Linked DNA regions of Oryctolagus cuniculus. Each later gene encodes a partner of the first gene's protein in a complex. Links are inferred from orthologs where the notes say so. Each region holds a gene or a part of one and is shown on either strand. Other genes may lie near its edges.

Evidence for each region. Proteins that work in one complex are often made in the same cells at the same time.
Region 2: CAMLG (region 1) and GET1 share a complex: the UniProt entries of both Homo sapiens proteins name them as parts of the golgi to ER traffic (GET) complex. The link is inferred for Oryctolagus cuniculus from reciprocal best matches to the Homo sapiens genes CAMLG and GET1.

Annotation. Positions count from the first base shown.
Region 1 is NC_091437.1:22,958,826-22,962,796, forward strand, and holds the start of CAMLG (guided entry of tail-anchored proteins factor CAMLG), read left to right. Parts: upstream 1-1,171; 5' UTR 1,172-1,274; coding exon 1,275-1,458; intron 1,459-2,996; coding exon 2,997-3,445; intron 3,446-3,971. UniProt on the Homo sapiens protein: Required for the post-translational delivery of tail-anchored (TA) proteins to the endoplasmic reticulum.
Region 2 is NC_091435.1:5,740,511-5,744,806, forward strand, and holds the start of GET1 (guided entry of tail-anchored proteins factor 1), read right to left. Parts: upstream 2,801-4,296; coding exon 2,699-2,800; intron 1,993-2,698; exon of another isoform or gene 1,978-1,992; coding exon of another isoform or gene 1,723-1,977; intron 1-1,722. UniProt on the Homo sapiens protein: Required for the post-translational delivery of tail-anchored (TA) proteins to the endoplasmic reticulum (ER).

The DNA of each region.
Region 1 (3,971 bases):
ACAGTCGAGTAGCCAGCAGCGTGAAATCTAATTTCAGATGATTTTGCATATTTTGTTTTGGAGTATTTATAGCTGTACCAAAAGTTAACATAAATACTTTGATATTACGGTTAGGGAAAAATTACTTAGCTACTTGAGTAATTTTTTATAAAGACGCTTTTTTTTTTCCTTAAAAATTATTTATTTGAAAGGCAGAGTTACAGAGAAAGGGCCGCCCTGAAGCCAGGAGCCTGGAACACCATCCATGTCGCCCATGTGGGTGCAGGAGCCCCGCTTCCAGTCCAGGCGGCGCCCGGCCTGGTGCTGAAGACGGCCAAGTGCTCGGGCCCCGCTCCTGGGAGACCTGTCTGAAGCGCCGGCTCCTGGCTCAACCCTTGCCGCCATGTGGGGAGTCAACCAGCGGATGGAAGAGCTCTCTCTCTCTAATCCTGCTTTTCAAATAAATAAAATACATAATTAAAAACAGTCTCGGGCGCCCCCAAACCTCCCATTCAGGGCCTGCGCCGCTGCGCCTCACGGAGGCCTTGACGTGCATCCACATCGGTATAGAAATCGCAGCAGAGAACAAAGCTCACTGCGGGGCTTCACACATCTTATATTTCAGGTGGTGAGACGCAGGCGACAAACACTCAGCACACCTGACAAGGTGGCTGTACATGCAAAGGAGAAAAGGGGTAGAAAGGACTAAAGAGCGTGGATCATTCACACAGTACGGACAGGGAAGACATCGCAGGGAAAGTCTTATTTAAAAAAAAGCGTGAGGAAAGCATGAGAACTAGCCCACTCGAGAGAAGAGCAAATTCTGAAGGGACTCAGAGTCAGCCCCGAGAAAAAATTCCTCTCTAAATCGTCGTTCGCCAATTTTCGTATTCCTGCGTCCAATGAACGAGGCCGCAGGAGTTCTGCAAAAAAGCGCCTGAAGCTGCATCCTCCATTTTGCTTCCTGGCACCTGTGACCTATATGCCTATCGCTTTCGTCACTTTCATCTCTTTCCACATCGCCAGGTTACGGACCATTTTGTTTATCTCTAATTTTAGAAGAGAGGAGACCAGCCGTCAGCGGAATGCTAGGCAGGCCGTCCTGGACCACAGGCGCTGCCCTCATTCAAAATGGCGGCCACAGCCTCGCGCACCTTCCCATCGGGCGGCGCGGGCGCGCTCGGCCCGCAGTCCCGGCCCCGCGCGCGGGGGGCGGGTCTACGCTGGGACGGGCTGGGGCGCCGTGCGGCCCTGCCCGAACTCACCCGTGCCGCCGCCGCCGCCACTTGCAGACCATGGATGGGCGGATGGAGCCGGTGACCGTCGCTGCCGACGGCGGGGACCGACCGGGGGCCCCGGCAGGGTCCGGCATGTCGGCTTCTCAGCGTCGGGCCGAGCTGCGGCGGCGAAAGCTGCTGATGAACTCGGAACAGCGCATCAACCGCATCATGGGTTTCCACAGGCCCGGGAGCGGCGCGGGTGAGAACGTCCGTTTCCCCGCAGTGTTCTGCCGACTGCTTGGCATCTTCGGGGTCATCTTGCCTGCCCCCACACTGCGTCTCGCTGGCCTCTCCCTGCCGCGCGTCCCCCTGCCTGAGTCCGGGGTCGCTGCCACGACGGCTGCGGGTCCCTGCGGGCGGCAGCCTGGAGACGGCCGTTCTCCCTGGTCTGCTGTGCCCGCGGTGCCCCCGGGAGGATGTCCCCTGCTGTCCGTTCCTGGTGCCTCTGCTTCCAGGGCTTTCCCTGGCATCCGCCTTGTGTTGCCGTTTGCTGTGTAATTGCTGTCGGGCACACCCGCTGGTCGGCTCTGCCCCCTGGGCCGCCCGCGGTGGGTCGGAGACGCGGGGCTGGGGGACATCCGGCCTGAGGTCCGCGAAATCGCCGCAGGCGGGATTGGAAGTCCAGTCCATCTGTGGCAGGCTGATTTTTAAGTTGATAATTTTGTTTGGCGCACAAATGATGTTATAGATGTTCAAATGGCTCTCATGGAAGAAAGACCCCCCCACCCCACCCCAGCTAGTGCCTGTGTTCAGCTCCAGGCCTTCCAGAAGTCAGACCAGCAGGTGCGCTGCGCCCACCGAGCTGCGCTGTCCTTGTTCGTTGAGACGGGTGTGACTGAGGTTGGGTTTGCATTGAGACCTGGAGCAGTGTCCCCAAGAGGGTGTCGAGGTGTTTTCTTAAAGAATCCTTTTCCCTGTGAATAGAACGAATCATTTAGCTCGCGAGTGGGAAGGTTTCCGTCCAGCATTTCTCTTAGTAATCGGCCTTTGGTTTTTGGTTGCGAGCTCCCTAGCTCTTCCTGAATCCCGGGAGGTTTGAGATGGAGTGTGGCTCCGAGCTTGCAGACACACTCCTGGGGAGGGAGAGCCCCTTTCCGAATTGTCCAGAACGGTGGTTGGGAGAACAGTTCTCCTTCGACGTTAGGATGCTTGTCTCTCCCAAAGCATTCTTCATCATCTTTCTTGGAGATGCGTTCTTATTTTCTTCTTTTGCTTTGAGATTTTTATCTTTATAGGTTTTGTTTAGGAAGAAAAGCCATGGCAGGGTCTTAAGGCTGTGTGTGGACACACTGTGGCTGCCTGACCCGTGAACAGTGGCCGGGGGACAGGCCACACCCTGTGCTCATAGAGCTCTGGATTCAAAAATCTAACTTAACATTCGAGCTAGAAAAAACAAACACACACTGATTTTTAGAAGGCTTGATGATTTTATGTATTCAGCCAGATAACTAGAGCAGGAACTGTGGGATATACTGTCCAGGAAGCGCAGGGAGAACAGTTTGCTCCATGCCGGCTCTCCGTTTGTATTTCACTCCTCGCCCCTCCTGCTAAGGCTGAGCTGTTGTGTACGGCTGGCTTTGAGGGTGTGGAGGGAGGAACCACTTCTCGTTTTATGCACAGTCAGTGTGGATTTCATTTCAGAGACTGCCAAGTTCTAGCTGCAGCCGCTTATTTTAAAATATTAACGTGTAGTGTTCGCCTGTATGGAATACATGAGACTTACATTTCTCTCCTCAGAAGAAGAGAGCCAAGCAAAATCGAAGCAGCAGGACGGTGACAGGCTGAACGCCCTCGGCATTCCTTCCGTCTCCAAGCGCGTGGTGCTGGGCGATTCAGTTGGTGCGGGAGCGGTGGACCAGCACGGCAGTGCGGCCGAGGTCCGGGGGGACGCGCTGGACTCTTTGATTCCGCCGCCCGAGTGCCCCGACGACCTGAACCTGGAGCTCCGGCTGCGCAGCAGAGGGGAGCTGGCCGCGGACGCCGTGCAGAGGGCCTCTCGCCACGGGCTGGAGCAGTACCTTTCCAGGTTCGAGGAAGCAATGAAGCTGCGGAGGCAGCTGACCAGCGAGAAGCCCAGTCAGGAGGACGGGAGCGCGGCAGAGGAGTTTGACTCTTTTCGAATATTTAGATTGGTGGGATGTGCTCTCCTCGCTCTTGCAGTCCGAGCTTTCGTTTGCAAATACTTGGTAAGGAAAAGACTGGGTTGGTAGCTAACTTCATGGAATATGCAAATTGCTTATAATGAATGCTTTTATATTTTATTTTTTGAGAGTTACACGGTAGGAGAGGAGAGAGAGAGAGGGAGGGAGGGAGGAATATCTTCCATCTGCTGGTTCACTCCCCACATGGCCACAATGGCCAGGGCCCAGCCAGGCTGAAACCAGGAGCCAGGAGCTTCTTCCAAGACGCCCACATGGGTGCAGGGCCCCAAGCACTTGGACCATCTTCCACTGCTTTCCCAGGAGCGTGAGCAGAGAGCTGGATTGGAAGTGGAGCAGCCAGGACACGAATTGGCACCCATGTGGGATGCCGGTGTTGCTGGTGTTGTGGCTTTACTGGCCGTGCCACAGCGCCGGCCCTGAAAAATTTTTTAAATGTAATTGAGAAGTAGAAGGACAGAGGGAGAAAGAGATTACATCTGTTTGTTCTTCCCCAAAATGCCTCAAGGACCAGAGCTGAGCTTGGGCCCAGAGCTGTGAGTCAGAAACTCAG
Region 2 (4,296 bases), on another chromosome or scaffold:
GGAGACCCAGAAGAAGCTCCTGGCTCCCGGCACAGCTCTGGCCATTGCAGCCACTTGGGGGGTGAACCAGCAGATAGAAGACCTCTCTCTCTCTCTGCCTCTCCTTTTCTCTCTCCAACTCTTTCAAATAAACAAATCTTTAAAAAGAGAGAGCGAGCGAGCGAGCACGAATTCATGGAGCCAGCACTGTGGCACAGCAGGTAAAGCTGCTGCCTGCAGTGCCAGCATCCCATATGGGCGCCAGTTCAAGTCCCGGCTGCTCCACTTCTGATCCAGCTCTCTGCTGTGGCCTGGGAAAGCAGTGGAAGATGGCCTGAGTCCTTGGGCCCTGCACCTTTGTGGGAGTCCCAGAAGATGCTCCAGGCTTCAGGCTCCTGGCTTTGTACTGACCCAGCTCCCGCCACTGCAGCCATTTGGGGAGTGAACCAGCAGATGCACGACCTCTCTCTTTCTCTCTCTACCTTTCTGTAACTCTGCATTTCAAATAAATAAATCGTTAAAAAACAACAACAACAACAAAACAACAAAAAACTAGTCTTATTTAAGAGTCCTGGCTGCTGGCTGGCGCTGCGGCTCAGTAGGCTAATCCTCCACCTTGCGGCGCCGGCACACCGGGTTCTAGTCCCGGTCGGGGCGCCGGATTCTGTCCCGGCTGCCCCTCTTCCAGGCCAGCTCTCTGCTGTGGCCAGGGAGTGCAGTGGAGGATGGCCCAAGTGCTTGGGCCCTGCACTCGCATGGGAGACCAGGAGAAGCACCTGGCTCCTGCCTTCGGATCAGCACTGTGCGCTGGCCGCAGCGGCCATTGGAGGGTGAACCAACGGCAAAGGAAGACCTTTCTCTCTGTCTCTCTCTCTCTCACTGTCCACTCTGCCTGTCAAAAAAAAAAAAAAAAAAAAGAGTCCTGGCTGCTCTGCTTCTGATCCAGGTCCCTGACAATCCACCTGGGGGAGCAGCAGCAGACGGCCTGAGCACTTGGCCCCTGCCACCCACAGGAGACACCTGGATGGAGTTATTGGCTTTAGCCTGACCCACCCCAACTACTGTGGCCATTTGGGGAGTAAACCACCCAGGAAGATCTCTGTCTGTCTCTCCCTGTCACTCTGTCTTCACTGTCACTCATTATTTATTTCAAATAAATAACCTTTTCAAAAAATAAGAGAATTCGCTGCATCACAAGACAACGGTGACAGCAGGGCCCCGGAATACAATTTTGTAGGAAGCACGGGTTCAACCGAGCAGTGGTGGAATAATAAAAGCAGCAGCAAGCCCACCTAGTCTTGACACACCACGGCCACCACGCATGCGCAGAAAACAGGCCCTGCGTCCAGCACAGCGCTGGAACCCAGGCACCCAGGCTCCGAGCGCCCGGCCGCGGCCAGGCCGCCCCAGCGCCCTGCGGTCACACGGAGGGCGCCCCTCGCCGCCCCGCAGCCCCACGGGCGCCCTGAGGAGGAGCCCAGCAAGGACGCCATCCCCACCTCGCCGTCTCCGGGAGCGAGACTCTAAGCACAGACCCAATTCTGCAGGCCAGGGGGCGGCGACCTCACCCGGCGCAGGCAGCGACTCCCGGGCCCGTGGACAGCAGTCATCGCCCAGCCCGGCGGGGGACGTGCTCCCCGCCCTGGAGGGGTCGCTGCACGCCCGCCGCCCACCCCGGGCTCCCGGGGTCCGGCGAGGCCCCGCCCCGCCCCGCCCCCGCCTCGGGGACCCCGAGCGCCGGACCTGAGGGAAAACCCCGCAGCTCGTCCGCGGGAACGACACGCAGCATCTCGCGGGTGACCCGGCCTCGAGGCGGCCCGGGGAGACCCCCGCTACGCCCCCCCTGAGCCGCCGGGCCCGGAGCCGGCGTCTACACCTGCCGCCCACCCGGGGCTCCCGGGGTCCCGCGAGGCCCAGCCCCGCCCCCGCCCCGGGGACCCCGAGCGCCGGACCTGAGGGAAAACCCCGCAGCTCGTCCGCGGGAACGACACGCAGCATCTCGCGGGTGACCCGGCCTCGAGGCGGCCCGGGGAGACCCCCGCTACGCCCCCCCTGCGCCGCCGGGCCCGGAGCCGGCGTCTACACCTGCCGCCCACCCAGGGGCTCCCGGGGTCCGGCGAGGCCCCGCCCCGCCCCTGCCCCGGGGACCCCGAGCGCCGGACCTGAGGGAAACCCCGCAGCTCGTCCGCGGGAACGACACGCAGCATCTCGCGGGTGACCCGGCCTCGAGGCGGCCCGGGGAGACCCCCGCTACGCCCCCCCTGCGCCGCCGGGCCCGGAGCCGGCGTCTACACCTGCCGCCCACCCAGGGGCTCCCGGGGTCCGGCGAGGCCCCGCCCCGCCCCTGCCCCGGGGACCCCGAGCGCCGGACCTGAGGGAAAACCCCGCAGCATCTCGCGGGTGACCCGGCCTCGAGGCGGCCCGGGGAGACCCCCGCTACGCCCCCCCTGAGCCGCCGGGCCCGGAGCCGGCGTCTACACCTGCCGCCCACCCGGGGCTCCCGGGGTCCCGCGAGGCCCAGCCCCGCCCCCGCCCCGGGGACCCCGAGCGCCGGACCTGAGGGAAAACCCCGCAGCTCGTCCGCGGGAACGACACGCAGCATCTCGCTGTGAGCCCGGCCTCGAGGCGGCCCGGGGAGACCCCCGCTACGTCCCCCCTGCGCCGCCGGGCCCGGAGCCGGCGTCCACGCCGGCCGCTGGAAGGCCAGGCAGCCACTTACGAAGGAGGAGAAGGACGGGAGGAGGATCCGAAGGACATTGCACCCGAACACGAAGCTGAGCACCAGCAGCCACGCCCAACGGTCGGCCTCCGCCGCGCTCATGCCTGGCGCTCGCCGCCGCCACAGCCCAGCCGGCACCACGCCGGCGGCCGCGCCTGCGCGCTAAGGCCCGCTGCGGCGCGCGTGCGCACTGCGCCGAGGCGAGCCATTTTTCGCGGTACGCCCGAGTGCAGAGAGCGGTAGATACGGTCCCACCGCTCCCTTGGCCTTCCGGGCTTCCGTAGGCACCTCGTGCCCGCCGACCGCTCGCGCTGATGCAGTGTGGACCTGTTGGTTGTCGTTGTCTGGGAGCTATTTATGTCATTTAATTAATACTTTCCCCAAGTTGACTCACGTTGATTCCTAAATGTAAACTTTAAGTGGAAGACCTCGTAGTAGCAGGTGACTGGAAAAGGCCCTGGCCTAGCCAACTTCGCCACAGCGCTGGTCCCGAAAAATAAGTTTATTGATGGGAAGGCGCTGGTTATCATCTGCCTGTAGTATAATTTTGGACATCAGGCTTTGCAGTTTACACATCTCCACTCACATTCACGCACCGGGGATAAACTGAAAGACATTTAGCCACGGTTGCATTGTGGGAACTAGTTCCTGCCCAAAATGGTGCACGAAGTCGTGGGTCCACAACTTTGTTGCGAGGGAACCTGACGTGCAGGCATTTAATAACAGCGGGACGGATTCTTTCCACGAAAGGGCATCCTGCTAGGAGGTGACCGATGAACCAACCAGAATAAAGCGAAGGACGGGAGCCTGCCTCTGCTCCGGGCCTTCTCCTGCCGCTGCAGACGAGACGGGGTCAAGGGCAGCTGCTCCCGTCCTCCCCCCTTGCCCCAGTCCCTGAGGAAAACCCCACCAAGTCCCACCCACAGACCCCAGGAGGACAGGCCACCTCACTCCGGTTGGTTGGTTGGTTTCTAAATTATTAACTTGAAAGGGAGAGTTACAGAGAGACAGAGAGAGACAGAGAGAGAGAGAGAGAGAAGGAGAGAGAGGGTGAGGGAGGGAGAGGGAGGGAGGGGAGGGGGGGAGAGAGAGAGGGAGAGAGCGAGAGCGAGCCTCCACCTGCTGGTTCACTACAGAGAGAGAGAGAGAGAGAGAGACAGAGAGAGCGCTTCCACCTGCTGGTTCACTACAGAGACAGAGAGAGACAGAGAGAGAGAGAGAGAGCCTCCACCTGCTGGTTCACTCCCCTAATGGCTGCAGTGAACGAGACTGCGCCAGGCCAGAGGCAGGAGCCTGGAATTCCACACGGGAATCAGGGGCCCAAGGACTTGGGCCGTCCTCCACTTCCTGCCCAGGCACATTCGCAGGGAAGCGTGTTGGAAGTGGAGCAGCCAGGACTCGAACCGTGCTCACGTGGAATGCTGGTGTTGAAGAGTTAAAATTGTATATGTGCGGGTGTAAAAAATTAAGCTTAAGCTTACAGGTTTAAACCTTCCTGGTACAGCTGTAAAAATAAGACAGAGTGAAGTAGCACCTTGACAGTAGGGACTCCATTTTGGAGCACTTGAGACTCCATTCTGGGAAAGCACCCCCCCCAC